Linked DNA regions of Macaca mulatta. The protein of the gene in region 3 interacts with the protein of the main gene of each other region in a biochemical or structural test. Links are inferred from orthologs where the notes say so. Each region holds a gene or a part of one and is shown on either strand. Other genes may lie near its edges.

Evidence for each region.
Region 1: the proteins of MAP1LC3A (region 3) and NBR1 form a complex in vitro, tested with the Homo sapiens proteins (2 studies listed by BioGRID and IntAct). The link is inferred for Macaca mulatta from reciprocal best matches to the Homo sapiens genes MAP1LC3A and NBR1.
Region 2: the proteins of MAP1LC3A (region 3) and ATG7 form a complex in vitro, tested with the Homo sapiens proteins (2 studies listed by BioGRID, with this or other methods). The link is inferred for Macaca mulatta from reciprocal best matches to the Homo sapiens genes MAP1LC3A and ATG7.
Region 4: the proteins of MAP1LC3A (region 3) and PHB2 form a complex in vitro, tested with the Homo sapiens proteins (2 studies listed by BioGRID). The link is inferred for Macaca mulatta from reciprocal best matches to the Homo sapiens genes MAP1LC3A and PHB2.

Annotation. Positions count from the first base shown.
Region 1 is NC_133421.1:67,506,592-67,512,284, reverse strand, and holds the start of NBR1 (next to BRCA1 gene 1 protein), read right to left. Parts: upstream 3,372-5,693; 5' UTR 3,271-3,371; exon of another isoform or gene 2,451-3,270; intron 1-2,450. UniProt on the Homo sapiens protein: Ubiquitin-binding autophagy adapter that participates in different processes including host defense or intracellular homeostasis.
Region 2 is NC_133407.1:150,209,209-150,214,254, reverse strand, and holds part of ATG7 (ubiquitin-like modifier-activating enzyme ATG7), read right to left. Parts: coding exon 4,914-5,046; intron 2,893-4,913; coding exon 2,777-2,892; intron 1,035-2,776; coding exon 959-1,034; intron 1-958. UniProt on the Homo sapiens protein: E1-like activating enzyme involved in the 2 ubiquitin-like systems required for cytoplasm to vacuole transport (Cvt) and autophagy.
Region 3 is NC_133415.1:87,343,662-87,348,775, reverse strand, and holds MAP1LC3A (microtubule-associated protein 1 light chain 3 alpha), read right to left. Parts: upstream 3,186-5,114; 5' UTR 3,031-3,185; coding exon 2,991-3,030; coding exon of another isoform or gene 2,970-2,990; intron 2,662-2,969; coding exon 2,606-2,661; intron 2,523-2,605; coding exon 2,416-2,522; intron 2,147-2,415; coding exon 1,984-2,146; 3' UTR 1,544-1,983; downstream 1-1,543. Other genes in the region: GPI-anchor transamidase component PIGU, read left to right, coding at 918-1,031. UniProt on the Homo sapiens protein: Ubiquitin-like modifier involved in formation of autophagosomal vacuoles (autophagosomes). While LC3s are involved in elongation of the phagophore membrane, the GABARAP/GATE-16 subfamily is essential for a later stage in autophagosome maturation.
Region 4 is NC_133416.1:7,941,389-7,947,107, forward strand, and holds the start of PHB2 (prohibitin-2), read right to left. Parts: upstream 3,457-5,719; 5' UTR 3,292-3,456; coding exon 3,165-3,291; intron 3,016-3,164; coding exon 2,931-3,015; intron 2,325-2,930; coding exon 2,245-2,324; intron 1,323-2,244; coding exon 1,138-1,322; intron 772-1,137; coding exon 642-771; intron 530-641; coding exon 426-529; coding exon of another isoform or gene 407-425; intron 357-406; exon of another isoform or gene 88-356; intron 1-87. Other genes in the region: EMG1 (ribosomal RNA small subunit methyltransferase NEP1), read left to right, coding at 3,672-3,839.

The DNA.
Region 1 (5,693 bases), on a different chromosome or scaffold from region 3:
CTCAAGTGCAGTGGCACGAACTGCAACCTCTGCCTTCTGGGTTCAAGCGATTCTCTCACCTCAGCCTTCCGAGTAGCTAGGACTACAGGCGCCTGCCACCACGCCCGGCTAATTTTTTTGTATTTTTAGTAGAGATGGGGTTTCACCATGTTAGCCAGGATGGTCTCAATCTCCTGACCTCATGATCCGCCTGCCTTGGCCTCCCAAAGTGCTGTGATTACAGGCGTGAGCCACCATGCTTGGCCTATTATTTTTAATATATAGACATATTTTTGAGACAGAGTCTCATTCTGTTACCCAGGCTGGAATACAGTGGCATGATCTCGCCTCACTGCAACCTCTGCTTCCCTTTGTTCAAGCGATTCTCCTGCCTCAGCCTCTGGAGTAGCTGGGACTGTTACAGGCACGTGCCACCACGCCCAGCTAATTTTTGTACTTTTAGTAGAGAAGGGGTTTCACCATGTTGGCCAGGCTGGTCTCGAACTCCTGGCCCACCTCAGCCTCCCAAAGTGCTGGGATTACAGGCATGAGCCACCGCACCCAGACTATTTTTTAAAGTATTTTTATGGGAAAATTTAAATCTATACAAAAGTAGAGAGAATATAATGAATCCCTATGGACCTATGAACTAGCTTCTTCCACAATTATCAACTCAGGACCAATTTGCTGTAACCAAAGGTTTACAGCAATACTGTTTCCCTACTAGATTATTTTGAAAGACATCCATCCTTTTGCCCATTAATAATTGAGTATGTACCTCTAAAAGATAAGAAGTTTTTAAAAAACAGTGTAGATATCATTATAATGTCTAACAAGTTAACAATTCCTTAATCGAATTTCTATTCTGATCATTATGTTTTTAATTAAGGATTTTGTTTACTGATAAATGGTTACGTTTAATTGGTTTTTATGACTTTATGAAAAAATAGCTTAGGTTGAGAGAAACAAGATTAAGTCCCAGGGATTTACAGTGTGGTCTGTGGGGCCAGGGCCAGAGGCTGGGAGGGAGGCGGAGGAGCATACAAACTGGGAAGACTTAGTTTGCAGACATAGTTCTGGCCCATTACTAGACATAAAACTGTGAGCAGGTCAATTTACCTTTGAGCTTCAGTTCTTTAATCTATAACAGGTCTAATATGTCTGCTCTGCCTATCTCACAGTGTTACCATAAGGATCAAATTAAAAATGTGTACACAAGTTCTTTCAAAATGTCATTCAAATATAAAAAATATTATAATGAAGGTCAGGCACAGTGGCTCATGTCTGTAATCCCAGCACTTTGGGAAGCAGAGGCAGGCAGATCGTTTGAGTCCAGCAGTTTGAGACCAGCCTAGCCAACATAGTGAAACCTCATCTCTACAAAAATACAAAAATTAGCTGTGTGTAGTGGCGCAGGTCTGTAATCCCAGCTACTCAGGAGGCTGAGGCAGGAGAATTGCTTGAACCTGGGAGGCAAGATTGCAGTGAGCCAAGCTCATGTCACTGCACTTCCGCCTGGGTGATAGAGCTAGACTCTGTCTCAAAAATAAAATAAAATAAAAAACTGGCTAGGTGTGGTGGCTGATGCTGGTGATCCTAGCACTTAGGGAGGCTGAGGCAGAAGGATCATGAGCCTAGGAGTTCCAAGACCAGCCTGGGCAACAAAGCCAGACTCCATCTCCTTAAAAAAATTAAGTTCAATTAAACATTCTAAAAGATAATAAACCAGTCTTTAGAACCATAAACCTGTAGTGTTTTCCACAATGTAACGCACTGCCCGGTAAAACACTCCAATTAAGACTGTCATTTAAAGGACCCTGAACTCTGTCAAGATCAGGCACTTTTTTGAAACCCTAAGACAATTATCCCCCAATTTTCTCCATTCTTTGTTTCTACCAAGAACCAAGTTCACCAGCAAAATAATACTAGTCTCTTAACAACAATCCTGCTGACATCTAGTATTCATTCATACGACATGTAATTATTGGGGTCTTTAAAATTTGAACAGAACCTTTGTCAATTCCCCAAGACCTTAGGCAAAAAATCAGGGAAACGAAGTAACTCTGTCTGCCAGAAGTGGATATTCTGAAACATCACTTTCCAGCTTCAAGAAACACACTTCCCTGCTTGTGAAGGAAATGAATCTTCCTCTCTTTTTCTCAAATTACACAATTGGAAATCAATTTAGATACTCTGGAGCTCCTCCAGCTAGTGGGCCAACTAAGAGAAAACAGGAAGTCAGAGATTCTAGCTTAGCTGGATCATATCCAGGTCTTCATAAGGAACTCTCTTTCGCTGACATGTAAAAAAATTCTTTCAGCAAGAGCGTTAATCTTGAACGTGTGTAAACACCAAAGCTATGGTTAACCCTATCTCACCCTTAGGTCTAAAGCCAGTATAGTCAGATAGCTGGGTCCTAGGCCTTCAGCTTTCATAACTGGCATTATTGTAAGTCCACGCCACTGACTCACCTTTGCTTGGCACGAGTTAACTTTTCCTCCACGTCGATTTTTTTTTCACCCTCAACAAAATCCCTTTAATGAAACAGACCTGGCAACCTGAGCTTTGATTTCTGTCTCCACCAGAGGTCTGTACAAGCCAAGTTATCCAAGCTTTAAAATGTGTGATTTGAGGCTGGGAGTGGTGGCTCATGCCTGTAATACCAGCACTTTGGAAGGCCGAGGCAGGAGGATCGCTTGAGCTCAGGAGTTCACGACCAGCCTGGGCTGGTCTTTCTCTGAGAAAGCAAGACTCTGTCTCAAAAAAAAAAAAAAAAAAAAAAAGTGTGCTCTAAAAGCTGGGTGTTTGACAAAAAGGAAAAACAGTGCCTTTCCAAAACCGAAGGTCCCTAACCAAGGAGATCTCTTTAAGGTCTCGAAAAAAGGAGGATGGAATGAAAAGGATGTGTAAGTAGTGTCATTTTTTAACTTGCAGAGTTCATCCTAGTCTTCCAGCTATCGTTTCATAGCACTCAATGTTCCCAAGACAGTGTCACCACCCCGACTTTCTCTCGTTTTCTTTGCCCAGGCCCTCATTCCACTGGGGAGTCGCGGCCTTCCATAGGTAGAAGCCGATGTTCTGAACCACGGACTCTCCAACTCTCCGGCGCTTTTCGCCCACTCGGTCCCTCTGAACACGAAGGGCTCTCTCATCCTGTCACTAAAAACATTAACTGTCCCGAGACACGGAAAAAGTCGCCCCTCTTCTTTGCAGGATTCCTCCCTTGAACTTCCCCAAACCCTCTCAGTGTGACGTGACCCCACCCCTAAGTAACCTCAGCCGCTTCCTTACCAGCTTCCCGCCCCCGGGGGGCGCCTGCCGTAGGCCAAGGCAAGGACCGTCCGCTGCCAGCTCTGCCGCTATCCCTGTGGGGTGAATCTAACATGGCGGATAAAGACAGTAACTAGTCCCCTGTTTCGCCGAGTTTTCGCCAAGATGATTGGCTCTTACCACTTGTCCCTCAAAACGACCACCCCATCGATTGGTGGAGATTGCGTCGACGGGGCGGGGCAGAAGAAACCTGAAGCCGCACAACAATAACAAACATTGGGGCCGAGGGGCGGAACTACGAGTGCGCAGACGTGAGCCAGAGCGGATTTCCCCTTCCCTAGGCAAATTCGGCGCCTACTGCGTCCCCCGCAGGTCACTGACCTTACAGGACGACTTGCCCAAGACTCGTGGGGCTGGATGGGAATTGTAGTCTTTCTAGGAGTTGTCGGTATCTCTTTGGCCTAGTCTCTGCTCTCAAGATACGAAAACATAACAACACTCCAATCCACAACTGTTGACATGTATAAGCGCGCGGAGGTCTCCAATCTATCCACTGGATTTCCGTGAGAATTGTGCCCGCTTCGGTATTGGATGTTCCTCTCCATAAGACTACAGTTTCCAAGGAACAGCGTGGCGAAGGCCTTTCATTCCGCAACGCATGCTAGAAATAGTAGTTCTTTCCCTCCACCCCCAACAATCCTTTTATTTACCTAAACTGGAGACCTCCATTAGGGCGGAAAGAGTGGGGGAATGGGACCTCTTCCTACGACTGCTTTGAACACTATCTTACACTCATATTCAGGCCTCGGGTAGCGATTCTGATCTTTGTACAGCGATTACTGTGACGTAATAAGTCGCAACTGGAAGCGTAAAGGCGAGAGGGCGGGCGCTTTATGGCAAACTCAGGTAAAATTCTTCCTCTTCCGTCTCTTTCTTTTTACGTCACCCGGGGCAGACTGGGTGGCCAATCCAGAGCCCCGAGAGACGATAGGCTCTTTCTGTCCCGCCCTTCCTCTGTGTCTTGATTTCCTATTCTGAGAGGCTGTTGCTCAGCGGTTTCCGTGGCAACGGTAAAGCGTGGGAATTACAGGTAAATTAAAACTGTGGAACCCCTTTCCTCGCTGCCGCCAAGGTGCTCGGTCCTTCCGAGGAAGTTAAGGCCGCGTTGGGGTGAGGCCCTCACCTCTTCCGGCAACTAGCACCCCGTCTGGCGGCCCCAGCCCCACACTCGCCCGCGCCATGGCCTACGTCTCCGAGCTCGCTTGCATCTACTCTGCCTTCATTCTGCCCGACGATGAGGTGACCGTCACGGAGAGTAAGATCAATGCCCTCATTTAAGCAGCCGGTGTAAATGTTGAACATTTTTGGCCTGGCTTGTTTGCAAAGCCCCTGGCCAACGTCAACACTGGGAGCCTCATCTGCAATGTAGGAAAAACAAAAACGTGACTGAGCGGCGTGAGCTCGCTGAGACTTTCTGGACGGGGGACAGGCCGTGGGGTTTCTCAGATAACTGGGCCCCTGGGCTCAGGAGGCCTGCACCCTCTGCTCTGGGTAAAGGTAGAAGAGCCCCGGAAAAGGGACAGGGGCCCAAGAGATGCTCCGGGGGACAGGCGGGGGAGAGTGAACTTCCGAAGCAGGCAGATGGGTATTCTTTAGGCGGGGTGGGGGGCGCGGAACCTGAGAGGCGTAAGGAGTTGTGAACCCCCTGGGGAAGGGGGCAATTTGTAGGTCGCGAGGGAAGCACTAAGGATCAGGTAGGGGGCACCGTGTGTCCGAGGGGGAATCCTCGGGATAGGAACTGAAATGTGCCTTGAGGGGGACACCATGTGTATAAGAACATCAGCTGGTTGCCGGGGACGGTGCCTCATGCCTGTAATCCCAGCACTTTGAGAGGCCAAGGCGGACGGATCACGAGGTCAGGAGTTCGAGACCAGCCTGACCAACATGGTGAAACCCCGTCTCTACTAAAAATACAAAAATTACCCGGGCGTGGTGGTGCGCGCCAGCTACTCAGGAGGCTGAGGCAGGAGAATCGCTTGAACCAGGGAAGCGGAGGTTGCGGTGAGCCTAGATCGCGCCATTGCACTCCAGCCTCGGCGACAGAACAACACTGTCTCAAAAACAAACAAACAAACACCGGCTAGTATTTATGAGAGGATGGGCCCTTGCGGAAGAAGAGGTGCTAGGAATATGTCTGGGACGGGGAGGAGACAGGATTTTGTGGGAGGGAGAACTTAAGAACTGGATCCATTTGCACTATTGAGGGAATAGCCAACAGGGAAGTAGAGGAGCGTCAGTAGTAACAGATGCTGCCGGCAGGGATGTGCTTGAGGAGGATCCTGAGATGAGAGCAGGTCACTGGGAAGGGTTAGGGGCGGGGAGGTGTTGATTGGTGTTGGTTTCAGTTTTATGCATGAGAAAGAAAACAGCCAGAAGCATTGGAG
Region 2 (5,046 bases), on a different chromosome or scaffold from region 3:
GTGGGTGGCGAGGAGGAAGAGAGAGACAAGCATGAGCTGAGTCCCTGTGCTCTCTGCACTCGTCTGAGTCTGTCCTTGCAAATCTCCAGGTAGGACTGGCGGGCAATATCACCATTTCACTCATGGGGGCAGCTGTCACATTACAGGAGAGAATACATACGTGGAATCTAAAAAAATGATTTCCAAAATGTAAGACTGGAAAACCTCTTCAATCTCCCGAAAATATAGTAATGAAAATGACTGAAGAGGCAGTATGAATTCTAAATGTCCATCCCACTGCCTTTTTCTTTTTAATCCCTAAGGGATGGAACTTCCTCATGATACTTTGGATTCTTTTTCTGAAAAGACACCCCGCTTTCTGGTGACCCTGCATGCTTCTAGTGGTTTTCCCATGCCTGCCTATGAAGGTTCTCTACTTGGGTTCAGAATCAATAATAATAACGAACAACAGCAAAGAAACAGCAGGTATTGTTTGTTGAGAGCCTGTGATATATACTGTTGCTGAGCCCTTTCTAGCAACCATCCATAATCCAAACAACTACCAGGTGAGGTCAGTATTACTTTCTCCACATTATAGATAAGAAAACTAAGCCTCAGAGAAGTTTAGTGACTTGGCCAAGGAAGGCCATCTTAATAACGGCAGGGCTGGGATTTAAATCATTGTATGGCTGATTCCAAAGCACGTTTTTTTTCTGTTCCTATTGCATTATGAGGCCTCTAGTCAGTTTACAAAACGCATCAAAGACTCTAGGCAATGCTTCTCATTTGTGATTTCTTCCCATCACTATCCTGCAGAATGGAATACCTTCTGGGTGGTCGGAAAGTTCTCCCACTGAAATCCCAGCTGCAGGGTAAATGGGTGGATATGAAGTGGGCTGGGCAGATGGAATGGCAAAGAGACCCCACATGCCTTCCCCCTGCACCAAAAGAATTGTGATTTCACTTCCAAATCACTAACCTGGTGAGGCACGAGCCCAAGAGAGGTTGGAGGCTCATTCATCCGATCGTCACTGCTGCTGGCAATGGCATAGCCCCTGAGGACAGGAAACAATCAGAGCTGCTCATTTAATCCAAGTTTAACACATGGGAGGATGATCTAAGCAGAAGTCTACATAAGATTCATAAGGATAACTAAAATGCCCCTTGCTGGGCAGTGTAAGTTAGCAAAAAAATAATTTCCCTGGGACAAAGGGCAAGAAGAGTAATTTTAAAATGCACGGTTTGGAGTAAGAAAGACCTGAGCTTGTGACCATAGGCAAGTTGCCTAACTTCTCTGTGCTTCAGATCCATCATCTAGAAAGTAGGAATGAGGGAGCTCTGATTAATAAATGAGGAATCTACTATACCAATTGCCAGTGCAATGTTTGGCATATCAGAGGCCAATAAACATTAACTCACTTACTATGAAATAGTCTTATCAAACATCACAGAACATTTCTGCACTGAAAATTTGAAGAGGAAAATTTTCTAACCTTAACTTCTTGAGCTGATATAAATGGTAATGAAATGCAGGAAATAAAAGTGAAGAATGAATTGGGCAAAACTAATGCACTACTCTCTGAACAATGGAGTGATACTTCTGTCACCAAAGAGACGTGACACAGGACCTGGTGTTTAAACTATGACCAGGGCAAATGTGGCAGACGGATGGTCAGCGTCAAGGAAGCAGAAAGTCAGCTCTCAAAGATTTTGTCCCAAATACTTCCTGTCAGAGAATGGCAATAAACTTAAATGACAGATAGCTAAGGTGGATGACAAAGAGGAAGACAAAAAAGTCCTGCTTTTCGTTTATCTCAGAGTACCCATACTAGTTACCTATACAGTCACAATTTTCAACTGCTGAGGAAAGCTTTGAGTCACACAATAAATAGAATATTCATGTTAATTTGCATATTGACTTTCTGAGAATTGGAAAAATAAATCTTTCAAAAATTCAATTTTCTGCTGCCTGTACTGCAAACAACATAACAAAGTGATTAAACATAGTTTGGAGCCACATTGAGCTAAACGCTGGCTTTTCCATTTACTATGTTAATTTGGCCACTTACTTATCCTCACTGTGCCTTGATTTCCCCATCAAAACCGGGACTAATAATAATAGTTCTTTCCTAACAGGTTTGCTATGAAGATTAAAGGAGGCCAGGTGCAATGGCTCACGCCTGTAATCCCAGCACTTTGGGAGGCCAAGGCGGGTGGATCACCTCTGATCACTGAGGTCGGAGGTTCAAGACCAGCCTGACCAACATGGCAAAACCCCGTCTCTACTAAAAATACAAAAATTAGCCGGGCATGGTGGCGTATGCCTGTAATCCCAGTTACTTGGGAGGCTGAGGCAGGAGAATCACTTGAACCCAGAAGGCAGAGGATGCAGTGAGCCAAAATCGTGCCATTGCACTCACTCCAGCCTGGGCAACAACAGCAAAATTCTGTCTCATTAAAAAAATAATAATTAAAAAAAAAAAAGATTGAAGGAGGCAATATTTCTGAAGTGCTTAGACCAGTGCCTAGCACAAAGTAAGCCCTATATAAGCGTTGAAAAAATAAAATAAACCATAATTTGTCCAAAAGGATGCAGAAATGTGGCCACAAAGGAAACGTGCCAAGTTATCTCAGCCCAAAGAACCAGACCTGCTTTTTCTAGTCTTGTGTTTTTGAGGGTAGATAAAGTAGTGAAATTCTCTGAAAAGTCAGACTGAGAAAAGGCTACAGGAGACATTGATGAATGACTGCCTACAAAAGCTTTGTTTAAATGCTCATCTCCCACTAGCAAACTCACCCTTCTGGATGCTGCAAAACAGATACCATCAATTCCACGGCCAGGGCTCCTGCAATCATGGCCAATCCTGGACGACTCACAGTGCACTGCTGGTCCAAGGTCCGGTCTCTGGTTGACTGCAAAGAAACAATCATTGGTGTGTGCTGAATGTTCTATTCCATTCAACTCTAGCTGTCTCAAATATGAAATCCTCTGTGACAAAGCTTTAAATTATAACCAGATGCTCATTGTTAGCAAAGAACATCCAGCCTCAAGTACATCATTTCTTGAGATTATCAAGAAAACAAAATACACAATTTAGGTAACTAAATGAGGTAATATGCTAAAAAGGATCAGCAGCTTAAACAGATTGGGGGATATCAACCAAAAATGAGGGCTTAGCTGCCTCATATAAAGGAACTGCATCATGTGTTCCTTTATGTGACTCAATTCAGTTCTGTGCTTGGTAGTTAAGTGACAGAGACACAGAAAGGAACAATGATTAGAATAGTGCAAATGATTCTGCCCTGCCATTTTAACTAACACCTCAAAGTGACCGTGAGATGGGAGCAATAATTTACTATTATTGCAGCCCTCAGTTCCAATGTTCCTCTCACAACATGGGCATCACCTCTCTGGGTGATTCTAGGGTTTACTACAAGTATTTTTTTTTTTTTTTCCTACAACATGGCTGTGAACACAAGCCTTTGCTGGTTCAACCAAAGAGAGTCTAACCATCCCACTCTGGGCAAATTAAAGAGGTTGTCAGGAATATTTTTGACTCTATGAAAATTTTACCTTATGAGCAAATGGGACTTTACTGCAAGGGACCACTAATCGTATTTGTTGACAATAACTAAATAACAAGACCAGCTGTATATTATAACACCATGACAGAGATCATCAAGCCATCCTTCTTCATATAAGAGAATGGTCATCTTCTTTTCTTTATATTGGGAGGACATAAAAGCCAGTCATCCAAAGGAGATATGAGTTATTAAGTGAAAAATTTTAAAACAAAGGAAAAATAGAGGGGAGGTTAGAGAAAACATCTCTGCATTGCCTCACTGGAAATTTTGTATCTGTTCTGATAAAGGAACAGCCCTACAGACAGACAGACTTGTGTGAAGTTCTGAAAGCCATAGAATCTTAATTTGTACAGTGTAGTCTTGCTGTTCAAAGCACTGTCGCACTTGACCCACTGAATTGTGAGTTGACAGGGCAAGTATTCTTCCCTCCCCTATTAGCATTGCCAGGGAGAATACAGGACACTCAGTTAAATTTGAATTTCAGATAAATAAATTTTTAGTATAAGTGGGTCTTGAATATTGCATGGAACATATACTAAAAAATTATTCATTATTGGCCCGGCATGGTGGCTCACGCCTGTAATGCCAGCACTTTGGGAGACCAAGGCAGGGGGATCACAAGGTCAGGAGTTTGAGACCAGCCAGACCAACATGGTGAAACTCCATCTCTACTAAAAATACAAAAATTAGCTGGGCGTGGTGGCACGTGCCTGTAGTCTCAGCTACTCAGGAGGCTGAGGCAGAAGAATCACTTGAACCCAGGAGGCAGAGGTTGCAGTGAGCCGAGATCGTTCCACTGCACTCAAGCCTCGGTGACAGAGCGAGACTGTCTCAAAAAAAAAAAAAAAAATTCATTATTAACTGAAATTCAAAGTTAGCTGGGAATCCTGTATTTTTACTTACTAAATCTGACAAGCCTACACACCAGTCCTATTTTGCAGAGGCAGAGGGAACCTAAGAGACTTTTTGGAATTACCTGGGAGGCAGTGTCAAGGCATTGATGGAATCTGATCTTTAGACTCCTAATTTGTAATGTTGTCTTGACTAAAAGAAGCACAGGAGACAATACTGAGTGCTACCAGGGATTAGTCTGCTGTGGTTTCCTCAATAAGCTTTCCAAAAATAGGGTTTGTAGCCGTGTTTATATTGGTGAACAAGGAACAGCTGTACAGTTGATGACGCCAGTCAAGGTTCATAATGAGATAATGCCATCCTCCCCAAATTGGAGAATTCTTCTCTTTGTTAAAAGATAATATTTAAATAGTCATAAATGAAAGGGCCGAGTCTGTCTGCCTCAGCGCACAAGTTGGTGATAGGAAATATTTGGAACTAAAGAGAAATCCACTTACATCTCCTGGGGCCACCACATCATTGCAGAAATAGCAGCCAAGCTTGTAACCAGGGATGTTGGCAAAAAGTGATGAGCCCAGGAGGTCAGCAGATGCCACAGGGTGGTTTGGACACAAGTCCCCAGCTCCCTGC
Region 3 (5,114 bases):
TCTGTTATTGAGTAGAGATTAGTGGGGCCAAGACCTAATCTGGGGGGCAAGTGATCCTGAGACCTGAAGCGTAAGCAGCTGTCGACTAGATGAACGGGGAGAGAACGTTCCATGCAGAAGAAACAGTAAGGATCCTGCAGTGGGGTGAGGTGGAGCCAGGAGAGGGTGGGCAGGGACCCTAGCAAGGTCTCAGAGCACCAGGGAGTTCGAGCTTCCCCCTAAGGCATGGGAAGCCTTTGGAGGATTTGAAGACTGGAAGTAACACCATCAGATGTAGGTTTTGAAAAGCTCCCTCTGGCTGCCAGGAAGAATGGGGTGGGCGTGGGTTTGAGAGCAGGGAGCCCAGGGACCAAGCTTTGCTGTTGTTTAGGAGATGACAGTGGCTCTGTCCAGAGTAGTGACTGTGGGGCTGGATCGAAAGGGTGGATTTGAGTTTAAGGGGTAGAATTGACAGGTCATGGTGGCTTGATGTATGAGAGAAGTGTCAGGGCAATTTTGTGGCCTGGGCACTTGGCTGGAAGATGGGGGCATGGGTGCCCAGTGGGAGAAGTGTATTTGACAGAGGGAAGGTGAGGAGTTTGATGTGGACCTGGCTGGGGTGGAAGTGGCTGTGGGAAGAGGGGGCAGAGGCCTCTGGCTGCACAGGCACCAGGCTGGCATTTGAGACCAAAGCCTGTGATGGAGGTGTAGACCATGGGTGGGGGCCGGGGAAGTCTGGACAGCCTCTGAGAGGCCAACAGACCTTGCAGGGTCAAGTTTGGGCCCTGAGGTGGGGGCCCTGGGCAGGGCCTCTCCAGTGATTGTGATCCAGAGCCAGGCAGGGGCTCTCCTGTCTTCCAACACATGCTAGCAGTTCAGGGATCCTGGGCTCACGGGGAGATACCCTGCAGCACCTCATATCCTCTCTCTCCCCCCAGATCCTGCTCATCTCTGATTACTTCTATGCCTTCCTGCGGCGGGAGTACTACCTCACACACGGCCTCTACTTGACCGCCAAGGACGGCACAGAGGCCATGCTTGTGCTCAAGTAGGCCTGGCTGGCACAGGGCTTTGTGGACCTCAGGGGGCTGAGGGGCCAGAAGCTGGGCCAAGCCCTCCAGTCAGAGTTGCCAGCAGGCGAGTGCTCGGGCAGAAGAGGTTCGAGTCCAGGGTCACAAGTCTCTGGTACCAAAAGAGACCCATGGCTGATAGTAAGGCCTGTGGGGAAGAACTGGAAGCTCCCCAACTTGGACCCCCCCACTTCGTGGCTCTGCACACCAAGGAGCCCCCTCCCAGGCAGGAAGGAGAAGAGGCAGGTGAGCAGGGCTTGTTAGGTTGTAGCTACTTAATAAATGTTTTTTGTTATGAAGTCTACCCTGAGACCACATCTGCATTGCACTCCTAGAGGGTTGGACCCTAATGTTCTGAACACTACACACAGGTGTGGGTTTCCAGAGCAAGCACTGAGGCCACAGAACACAAGTCTGTGCGCCAGAGCCCGGGGATGGTGCAGACAGCCCTACCAGCACCCTTCCCACTCCCAAGCAAGCAGCTGGAGGCACGGGGCCAGGCAGGCCTGAGCAATCTTTATTCTGCAGAGGGACAATGACCACAGATCCATACACCATGTGGAGACCGAGGGGCGGGGAGCCAGGGGCCAGTCTTTCAGGGGTGGGCAGGTCCAGGCGTGGGCAGAGCCTTGGGTGGGTGAGGGGCAGATGGGCAGTCAGGCAGGGGCCTAAAAAAAAGATGAACCACACAGCGGGGTGCTGGGGGCTGCTCCCAACCCTCCCCCATCCCAGCCAGCACCCAGAGGGACAACCCTAACACAACCGGCCCAGGATCCACCCAGGGGCAGAGTAGGTGGGTTGCCCTCTGACTAGGGGGGCACATGCCTGCCCAGCCCACCACGGCAGAGGCAGCTCAGTTCAGGAACCAGGAGCTCTCTGGGCAGGGCCTGACCGGGCCCCCCCCCACTCCCAGGCCGACCCCCCTACTGCTGGCTCAGAAGCCGAAGGTTTCCTGGGAGGCGTAGACCATGTAGAGGAAGCCGTCCTCGTCTTTCTCCTGCTCGTAGATGTCCGCGATGGGCGTGGACACGCTCACCATGCTGTGCTGGTTCACCAGCAGGAAGAAGGCCTGCGTGGGGTTCAGCTGCAGGCGGCGCCTGAGGCAGGCGGGAGAGTATGTGGCTGTAAGGGGCTTGGCTACGGGGCAACGTAGCCCTGACCCCCAGAATGATTCCCAGCCTTTCACACCCATCCTCACCCCACCTGTCACCTCTGACCCGGCACCGACTGCAGCCCCGACCTTGACCTTTCCAGCCGCCCCAGAACAGGGGTCCACCACCGGTCCCATCACCCCTGACCCCTTCTCGGCGGGAACCCGTCTCCCTTCCCGACCCAAGCCACCACCTGGCAGCGGCTGCCCACGCACCGGATGATCTTGACCAACTCGCTCATGTTGACATGGTCCGGGACCAGAAACTTGGTCTTGTCCAGGACGGGCAGCTGCTTCTCACCCTTGTAGCGCTCGATGATCACCTGGGAGCAGGGCGGGCGGGCAGGGGGTTGTGTCGGGGACGCGCGAGGCGGGGCCGGGGCAGGGCTGGGGGTGCAGGACTTACCGGGATTTTGCTGGGGTGCTGGTCGCGGATCTGCTGTACCTCCTTACAGCGGTCGGCTGCGGACAGCGGCCAGACCGTGAGGCCGGGTCGGCCCGGCCCAGGTCCTCCCCACGTCTCCGCCTGCCTGTCCCCAAGGGGCGGCCCCCGGCCACGCCCCAGCTCCAGCCCCCGCCCCCGGGGCCGTCAGGCCCCACAGCCCCTGGCACCTATCGTGGTGGGGAAGCAGGCAGCCCCCGCCCAGGCCGGAGCCAGCCTCCCAGCCCGAGGGTCCAGCCGAAGCCTGACGTCACGGGGCTGACGTCACCTGCGGCAGTCTGGGTCGGCCGGGCACCCCCCCTCCCCGGCACCCCTACCCCGAGCTCACAGCTCGCCTGCCGGGCCTCACCGAAGCTCCGCCGCTGCTTGAAAGGCCGGTCGGAGGGCATCGCGCGGGCCCGGCTGGGCGCGCAGGCCGGGGCTCTGGGGCGCGGAGATGTGGCTGCGGTTTGGGGGCTCCGGGGGCTCCGTGCCTCGCGCTCAAGGGCTCCGGCGCTCGCGCTGAGCACGGCGGCGGCGGCTGCGGGAGGTAACTCGCCCGGTGACGTCAGGTCACAACATTCCTTAAAGGGGAGGCCGGCGCGCAGCTCCCATTGGGCCGACGCACAACCCGCCCGCCCGGACCCGTGACGTCACGGCGCAGAGAGCCTGGGTCCCCGGCCCGGGACACGAGAGGCGGGGCTCCTGGGCGCGTCACAGTCCCGTGACGTCATGAGCAGCGCGGGAGCCTCTCCCGTGGCCCCGACTCTGGTGAGGCCGGGAGAGCGGTGGGGCCGCCCTGGGCCGATGGAGCGGGTGGGCCAGGCTGCAGCCCCGTGGCACCACTTCCTTCCCTCACCGAGTCTGTGTCAGGACTGACCCGCGGCTCTGGGCACCGTGGGAAACAGCGGGAGCCAAAGGCCCGGCGCCTTCAAGGGGGCTCAGGGCAAGAGAAGGGAGAAGGTGCGGGAGGCACAGTCAGACACAGGATAGAGCAAGACGCTAGAAATGAACGCCCAGGTTTGAAAAAGAATAATATAATTGAAGAGTAGAGCTATCGAAATTCAGGTCTCAGAGGATGTGGCAAGAAGGCAGAGCAGGACAACAGAAGAGAAATCGTGGACCTGGAGGCTGATAGCAAGCAGCTTACCAGAGGACAGGTGATGGAGAATTAAAAGGAAAAGGCCACGGATGGCAACGCCAGGAGAACTCGCAGGCCGGAGCAGAGCTCCACAGGCGAGCACTGAAAGACCTGCAGAGGCAGTTCCTGAATGAGAGCTGTCAGAAATGATGCTTAAAATCCAGAGCAGAAGGCACAGACCGAAGATCAACATCTTTTTTTTTTTTTTTTTTTGAAAGGGAGTTTCGTTCTTTCGCCAGGCTAGAGTGGTGCGATCTCAGCTCACTGCAACCTCCGCCTCCCTGGTTCAAGCGATTCTCCTGCCTCAGTCAGCCTCCTAAGGAGCTGGGATTATTAGGCGCCTGCCACCACGCCTAGCTACTTTTTATGTTTTTAGTAGAGATGGGGTTTCACCATGTTGGCCAGGATGGTCTCGATCTCCTGACCTCGTGATCCGCCCGCCTCAGCCTCCCAAAGTGCTGGGATTACAGGCGTGAGCCACTGCGCCCAGCCGCCAAAATAATTTTTAAAGAATGTACTTCAGTATCAAAGACATGGAACCCAAAAGGAAGAAATTAGATGGAAAAATGGTGAGCAAATTAGTAAACATGTCAGTAAATCTAAACAAGTATTTAATATGCAACATGAATAATGGATAATCTGTGGGCCACAGAAACAAGATGCATGAGACAGAAGAACATGGGAGACTGAGAGGGCAATCAGAGTTAAGGTGTTTTAGGAAGTTCGATTTGAGAGGGGGATAAAGAGACTAAGCATTCTCTGGCTTTGTAAAGTCAGGTGTGTATTTCAGATATTTAAGAGGGATCATCAAAAGAATACAAACTATAATGGACGCCAGAAAAGGAGAAAAAGGAAGCAAAGTAAAAGGGATGGTAAATATATAGTACAAAACCAGAGGTAGAAAATGTGGTTTACGTTCACCTCTTAAAACACAGATGACCAGATTGGCCAAGAAAAAATAAAATGCAGCTCTATGCTATTTACAAGAGGACATTTAAAATCTAAGGGCACCAAAAGTAAAATGATGGAAAAAGGTGTACTAGAGAAAAACTAACCAAAATATGTACCTATAGAAATTCACTCAGACAAAATAGGCCTTCAGGCAGAAGACATTGGGGACAAAGGATCACCATGAAATGATGCGAGTAGCTCTGTGAAGAGAGGGAAGTTCTGAACTTCTATGTTCCAGGGTTTTTAAGGCTGAAAATAGGCTGGGTGCAGTGGCTCATGCCAGTAATCCCAGCACTTTGGGAGGCCGAGGTGGGCGGATCACTTGAGGCCAGGAATTTAAGACCAGCCTGGCCAACGTGGCAAACTCTGTCTCTACTAAAAATACAAAAATTAGCCGGGCGT
Region 4 (5,719 bases), on a different chromosome or scaffold from region 3:
TGAGGAGGGTTAAGGTTCACACAAGGGCAGGTCTCAATCCCTAGCCCCGTCCTTACCACACTCCCTTGCTACAGTCCTCCTCTGGGCTGTCAGATCCAAGGTTGCGCTCAGGTGGCTTGTGCCCGCTCTACCTTGGACCCCACCTGTGGGCCTCCCTGCAGGCTGCTGCCAGGAACTAGGGGCAGCAGCAGAAATGAAGGCAAGGCCAGCAGTGCTATTGATCTGGCCTTACAGTGGGGAGTCAGGGCTCAGGTACCCCCGCTAAGATTTCAGATCTCATCTGTAGCCCCCACCCGCAACAAGGAGCCAAGGGCCAGAGAGCACGGAGTCGCATTCGCCTTAGTCTCATCAGCCTGCCCGTGAAGGAGGATGGGGAACTCAGGTGCCCTAGGGACTGGGCCGAGACCTCTCACGCAGAAGGATATCATCTTGGCAGCCTCGGCCTCACCCTCGGCCTGCACAATCTTCTGCCGCTGTTCCTGCTTCGCTTTTTCTACCAAGAATTGGGCCCGCTGGGCCTCCTGCTGGGCTGTAGCGGGAGAGAGTCAGGGAGACCGTGTGCTGGGTCAGGAGCCCCGTCCACCGAGTCTTTCCTCCTCCTGCATCTCGGAAGCCCTCACCCCACTGCTCGTGCGACTCACCCACTTGTTTGGCTTCTACAGCAGCTGTGTACTCTCGGCTAAAGCTCAGCTCTGTGATGGCCACGTCATCCAGGATGAGGCTGAAGTCCTTGGCCCTCTCTGTCAGCTCCCGGCGGATCAACAGGGATACCTGAGGGCAGGGGTGGGGAAGGGTGGTTTGAGGGGACTGGGTTGCGACCCCGAATCCTTCACTCTCTCAATACAATATGCGCTGCCTTAGCTTCCTGTCAGGCAAACCTATAACATAAGCCTCTCTGCTGAAAGAGGTGCAGGAAAAGCCAAGACTTGGCCATTTTCCTCTGTGCTTCCTAATACCAAGTGCTACCGAGTTCTAATGCTGGCTCTCCTTATCTCACAGTGGCAATTAGCACAGCTTTTAGGTGGAAATGGCACTAGGGTGACAATCCTCTTCTATTAAGCTGCCTTTCCTAATTCCCAGTACTCTGGGCCTAGAAGGGAAAGGCTGACACCATGCAGATGGTGGTGGGAGTCAGACCTGGGCCCGCTGGGTGATCAGCTGTGAGGCATTGAACTTGGCCACCACACTCTTGAGCACCTCGTTGACAATGGACGGCAACACTCGTTCCTCGTAGTCCAGCCCTAGGCGCTGGTACATGCTAGGAAGCTCCTGAGCATTGGGTCGAGACAGCACTCGCAGGGAGATGTTCACCATCTGTAGGTCTGAGATTGAGGTCAGCAGTGGCTGGTCAAGGCCAAACACCCTTTCCCAAGCATTTTCTCCTTCATGTTCCTCCCTATATGCCCTGTGCAATGATGTACAGCCTGGCACTGCCCTGGGGGGAGGAGAGTTAATCAGGCTGACAAGGAACACATGAGGCAGCACAGGTGAAATGCACCCTCACCCACTGTGAAGCCTGGAACTGCAACCCCGTCACCAGCAGGGCTGACTGCTCTTTCCCCCTCTGTACTCCATGCAACCTCTAATGTGGGTGCTTTCACGCTGTACCGTAATCACGTCTCCTGTAAGGACTTGGGGGACAAAAATGTTCTTAATGAATCTTGTATTCCAGGGCCCAGCAGTTTAATACATGAATAAGCCACCTGCACTAGGTATAGTACAAAGAAGTACATTACAGGTTACAGGTGACCTACCTCACCCAGGGTGTATGCGTGTGTGTGTGTGTGTGTCGGGGGGGGGGTGGGTGGGGAGGAGGAAGAGGTCTGGGGAACTCAAAGGCATGGCTTTTATGTGTGGTCTAGAAGGAGAGAATAGGTGAACTAGTCAAGGGTAGGGACAAACTTCTCCAGAACAGAGTATACTAGTGGATGTAACTGTAGATATAGTAAGTCAAGCAATTAGAAAAAAAGGCTTTAAAACAAAGCTTTGATCTAGGCAGTGAATAAGACAAGGACAAACAATACTCTTATTGAATATGTCAGGGATGAGACAGTAGAAAGCACGCAAACACAGGGTGTTCAGAATGTGCTGCTTTGACCCCGGGAGGCAGGTATTTTTGTTACAGTTCTTGCAGACATGGAAACTAAGGCCTAAAGGCCTGACACTACCATCTTCACCTGGGGTTTCTTGCCAGCTCCCTTGATCTTCCCACCTGCCATGTGATTACCAAGTGCTCAGACCTACCTTTGGAGCCTGTAGGGGAGGAGATTTTTCGAGGTCTGGCCCGAATGTCATAGATAATGGGGTACTGGAACCAGGGGATCCTGGAGGGGACAGGGATAGGTATTAAGAGGCCGCAGTTTCGGCCAGGAGCGGTGGCTCACGCTTGGAATCCCAGCACTTTGGGCGGCCGAATCATTTGAGGTCAGAAGTTCGAGACCAGCTTGACCTATATAGTGAAACCCCGTCTCTACTAAAATACAAAAATTAGTCGGGCGTGGTGGCGGGCGCCTGTAATCCCAGCTAATCGTGAGGCTGAGGCAGGAGAATCGCTTGAACCCAGGAGGCGGAGGATGCAGTGAGCCGAGATCGCGCCACTGCACTCCAGCCTGGGCGACACAGCAAAACTCCCGCGCCCCCCTCCCCCAAAAAAGCCGCAGTTTCACTAGCTTTGCCCGGTTTCCCCTCACCAGGCGTTTTTTGGCCTGCTCCTCCCCATGACCACCGACAAGGAGAGATTCTCTTGTCCCTTTCGAAAACAACAGTTCATATGCTGCTGGAGGTTCGCGCAGCACCCACTATCCTAGGAGCAGGGATGAGGAGGGAGGGAAAAGAGCAGCGTTGAATCCTGTTGCACGTCCCACTACAGCCATTGCTGGGTCGGCGTCAAGGGTGAAAGGTCAGGGTCAGTAAGCTCTGCCCGCCATTACCTGAAGTGAAGGCCCTCGGCCAGGATAGTGTCCTGCTGCACTCCACCGATCCGATTGAAGAAGATGGCTCTGTGCCCGCCTTCCACTGTGGGGAGAGGGGTGGTGATCAGGCCAGGCCGCTGCTCAGAGTAAATGCTAGCTAGGCTCGTGGTGGGGCGCGGGGACCGGTGAGATAGGGCAAGGGGTTTGGGGGAGGGACTGGAAGCGTCCGGCGAGCAGGCGAAGGTTGCTCACCAGTGAACACGGATTCGCGGACACCGTACGCCACGGCGCCGGCCCCCAGCAACAGCTTCAGCGCCGTGCCCATGCCCCGGGGCCCGGCGGGCAGCCGTCCCGCCAAGTCCTTCAAGTTCTGGGCCATGTCTGATCTTGAGGCCGGCGGCACCGGAGGTCAGAAGGGGGTGCCGGCCCGCCTCTACCCCGCTGCAGCTTAGGTACTGCACCCTTCACACGAGGGTTCGGGCCCGTAATGCTGGCGAAAGAAAGGGCACCGGAAGTGCGCTCCCTTGGAAACCCTCCCCCTTAGCCCACTACCCACCCGAACTTCGCGCACAGGAAGAGCGCATACGGAAGTCCCGCCCCTTTCTGGAGGGCTGCCCTCCCAGGGAGGGCAGCGCAAGACGGCAAGTCATCGCCATTTACAAGCCCACTTTCAAAATGGCAGCCGGAAGGAAATTTGTGATTAGAAGCCTCACTGTTCTCATTTAAGAGCGTTAGCGCAACTTCCGGTCTGGTTGCAAGATGGCCGCGCCCAGTGGTGGATTCAAGCCTCGTGAACGAAGCGGTGGGGAGCAGGCACAGGACTGGGATGCTGTGCCACCCAAGCGGCCCCGACTAGGGGCAGGAAACAAGATCGGAGGCCGTAGGCTTATTGTGGTGCTGGAAGGGGCCAGTCTGGAGACAGTCAAGGTAGTTTGGGACAGGAAGTGGATAAGTAGTAAATCAATAGACTGGGATCCGTGGAATGAGGGTGAGGGGCTCAGAGTGGATGGAGAAGGCAGAGAGGGGTGAAAGATGCTTTTGAAGGAAGATGGGTTGGTTGGCTGTGCGTTGATCTGACATCCTGGGATGGTAGTGCTCATTTTTCTTTTTCTTTTTTTTTTTTTTGAGATGGCGTTTCGCTCTGGCGCCCAGGCTGGAGTGCAGTGGCGCGATCTCGACTCACTGCAACCTCTGCCTCCCGGGTTCAAACAATTCTCCTGAATCAGCCTCTGGAGTCGTTGGGACTACAGGCACGCGCCACCATGCCCGGCTAATTTTTTGGGTTTTTTTTAGTAGAGATGGGGTTTCACTATGTTGGCCAGGCTGGTCTCGAACTCCTGACCTCAAGTGATCCGCCCGCCTCGGCCTCCCAAAGTGCTGGGATTACAGGCGTGAGGCACCGTGCCCGGCCGGTAGTACTCATTTTCTTTTGCTCTTCTTGAATGCCATTCCAGCCCTCACCTCTTTGCTTCCAACTGGTTTACCAGGATTCTGTGATACAGTAGTCTAAGGAGAGGAAAGTTTCGTTTGTTGCATCATTCCACATCCCAAGACAAGTTACTGGGCGGATGAGAAAGGTAGTTATGTAGCCTAGTCTGCCCTCCCTTTTTGTAAGGGCTTCATGTTTCAATTCATTAGTGTCCATAGTCACCTCTCTCTAATATCCACCTGGAAACACTGTCCAGACCAGGTTATTGTTTAACACTTTTACGTCTGCATTTTTATCTATCATTCATGTCTTTCTCCACACGTAATAAACAGAACCAGCAATTCTCTATCTTAAAGCCTTGGGCAATGTTCTTCCTCCTTTCTCTTACCCTTTAGAAATAATTCAATGAGTAGGCCCAGGAGAAATTGCATGGGTTTAGAAGTCAGACCAGGATTTTAGTCTTCGTTCTAAATACACTTTGTGTGTGCATGTGTGTGTGTGTGTGCGCGAAACAGAGCCTCAGTCTCTCCCAGGCTGGAGTGTAGTGGCATGATCTTGGCTTACTGCAGCCTCCGCCTCCCGGGTTCAATCGATTCTCCTGCCTCAGCCTCCAGAGTAGCTGGGATTACTGGCCTGCACCTGTAATCTATTAAAGGAATAGAAAACATGGTTATATCCTACTAATGGGTTGAAACTATTATTCATTCAAGAAGGTTTTTTCTTCTATAACTAAGGATGTCTCATGGACTTAGTTCTTCGTCATTTGTTCTTTCTTTGTGCTTACTCTGTGACATTGCTACTTCAACTATTCAATTTCAAAATCTGTATCCCTTTTTTCGCAGACTTTTTGGAGCCATGTATCTCAAGAATGTTGCTAGACATATACAAACATTCTAGTGATACATAAAAACTTAGCCTTCCAGCCGGGCGCGGTGGCTCAAGCCTGTAATCCCAGCACTTTGGGAGGCTGAGACGGGCGGATCACGAGGTCAGGAGATCGAGACCATCCTGGCTAACACGGTGAAACCCCGTCTCTACTAAAAAACACAAAAAAACTAGCCAGGCGAGGTGGCGGGGGCCTGTGGTCCCAGCTACTCCGGAGGCTGAGGCCGGAGAATGGCGTAAACCCGGGAGGCGGAGCATGCAGTGAGCTGAGATCCGGCCACTGCACTCCAGCCTGGGCGACAGAGCCAGACTCAGTCTCAAAAAAAACAAAACAAAACAAAACAAAAAACTTAGCCTTCCAAAACCTGTATTTGTATATAACAGTTTGTTTTTAGGCTTTTTACTGACCACCCTAATGCTCCTTGGGACTCCAAATTGCAACTTGGAATTATTTCTTTTAGCTGCTACAGATGTAGTCCACTTCTTTATCATC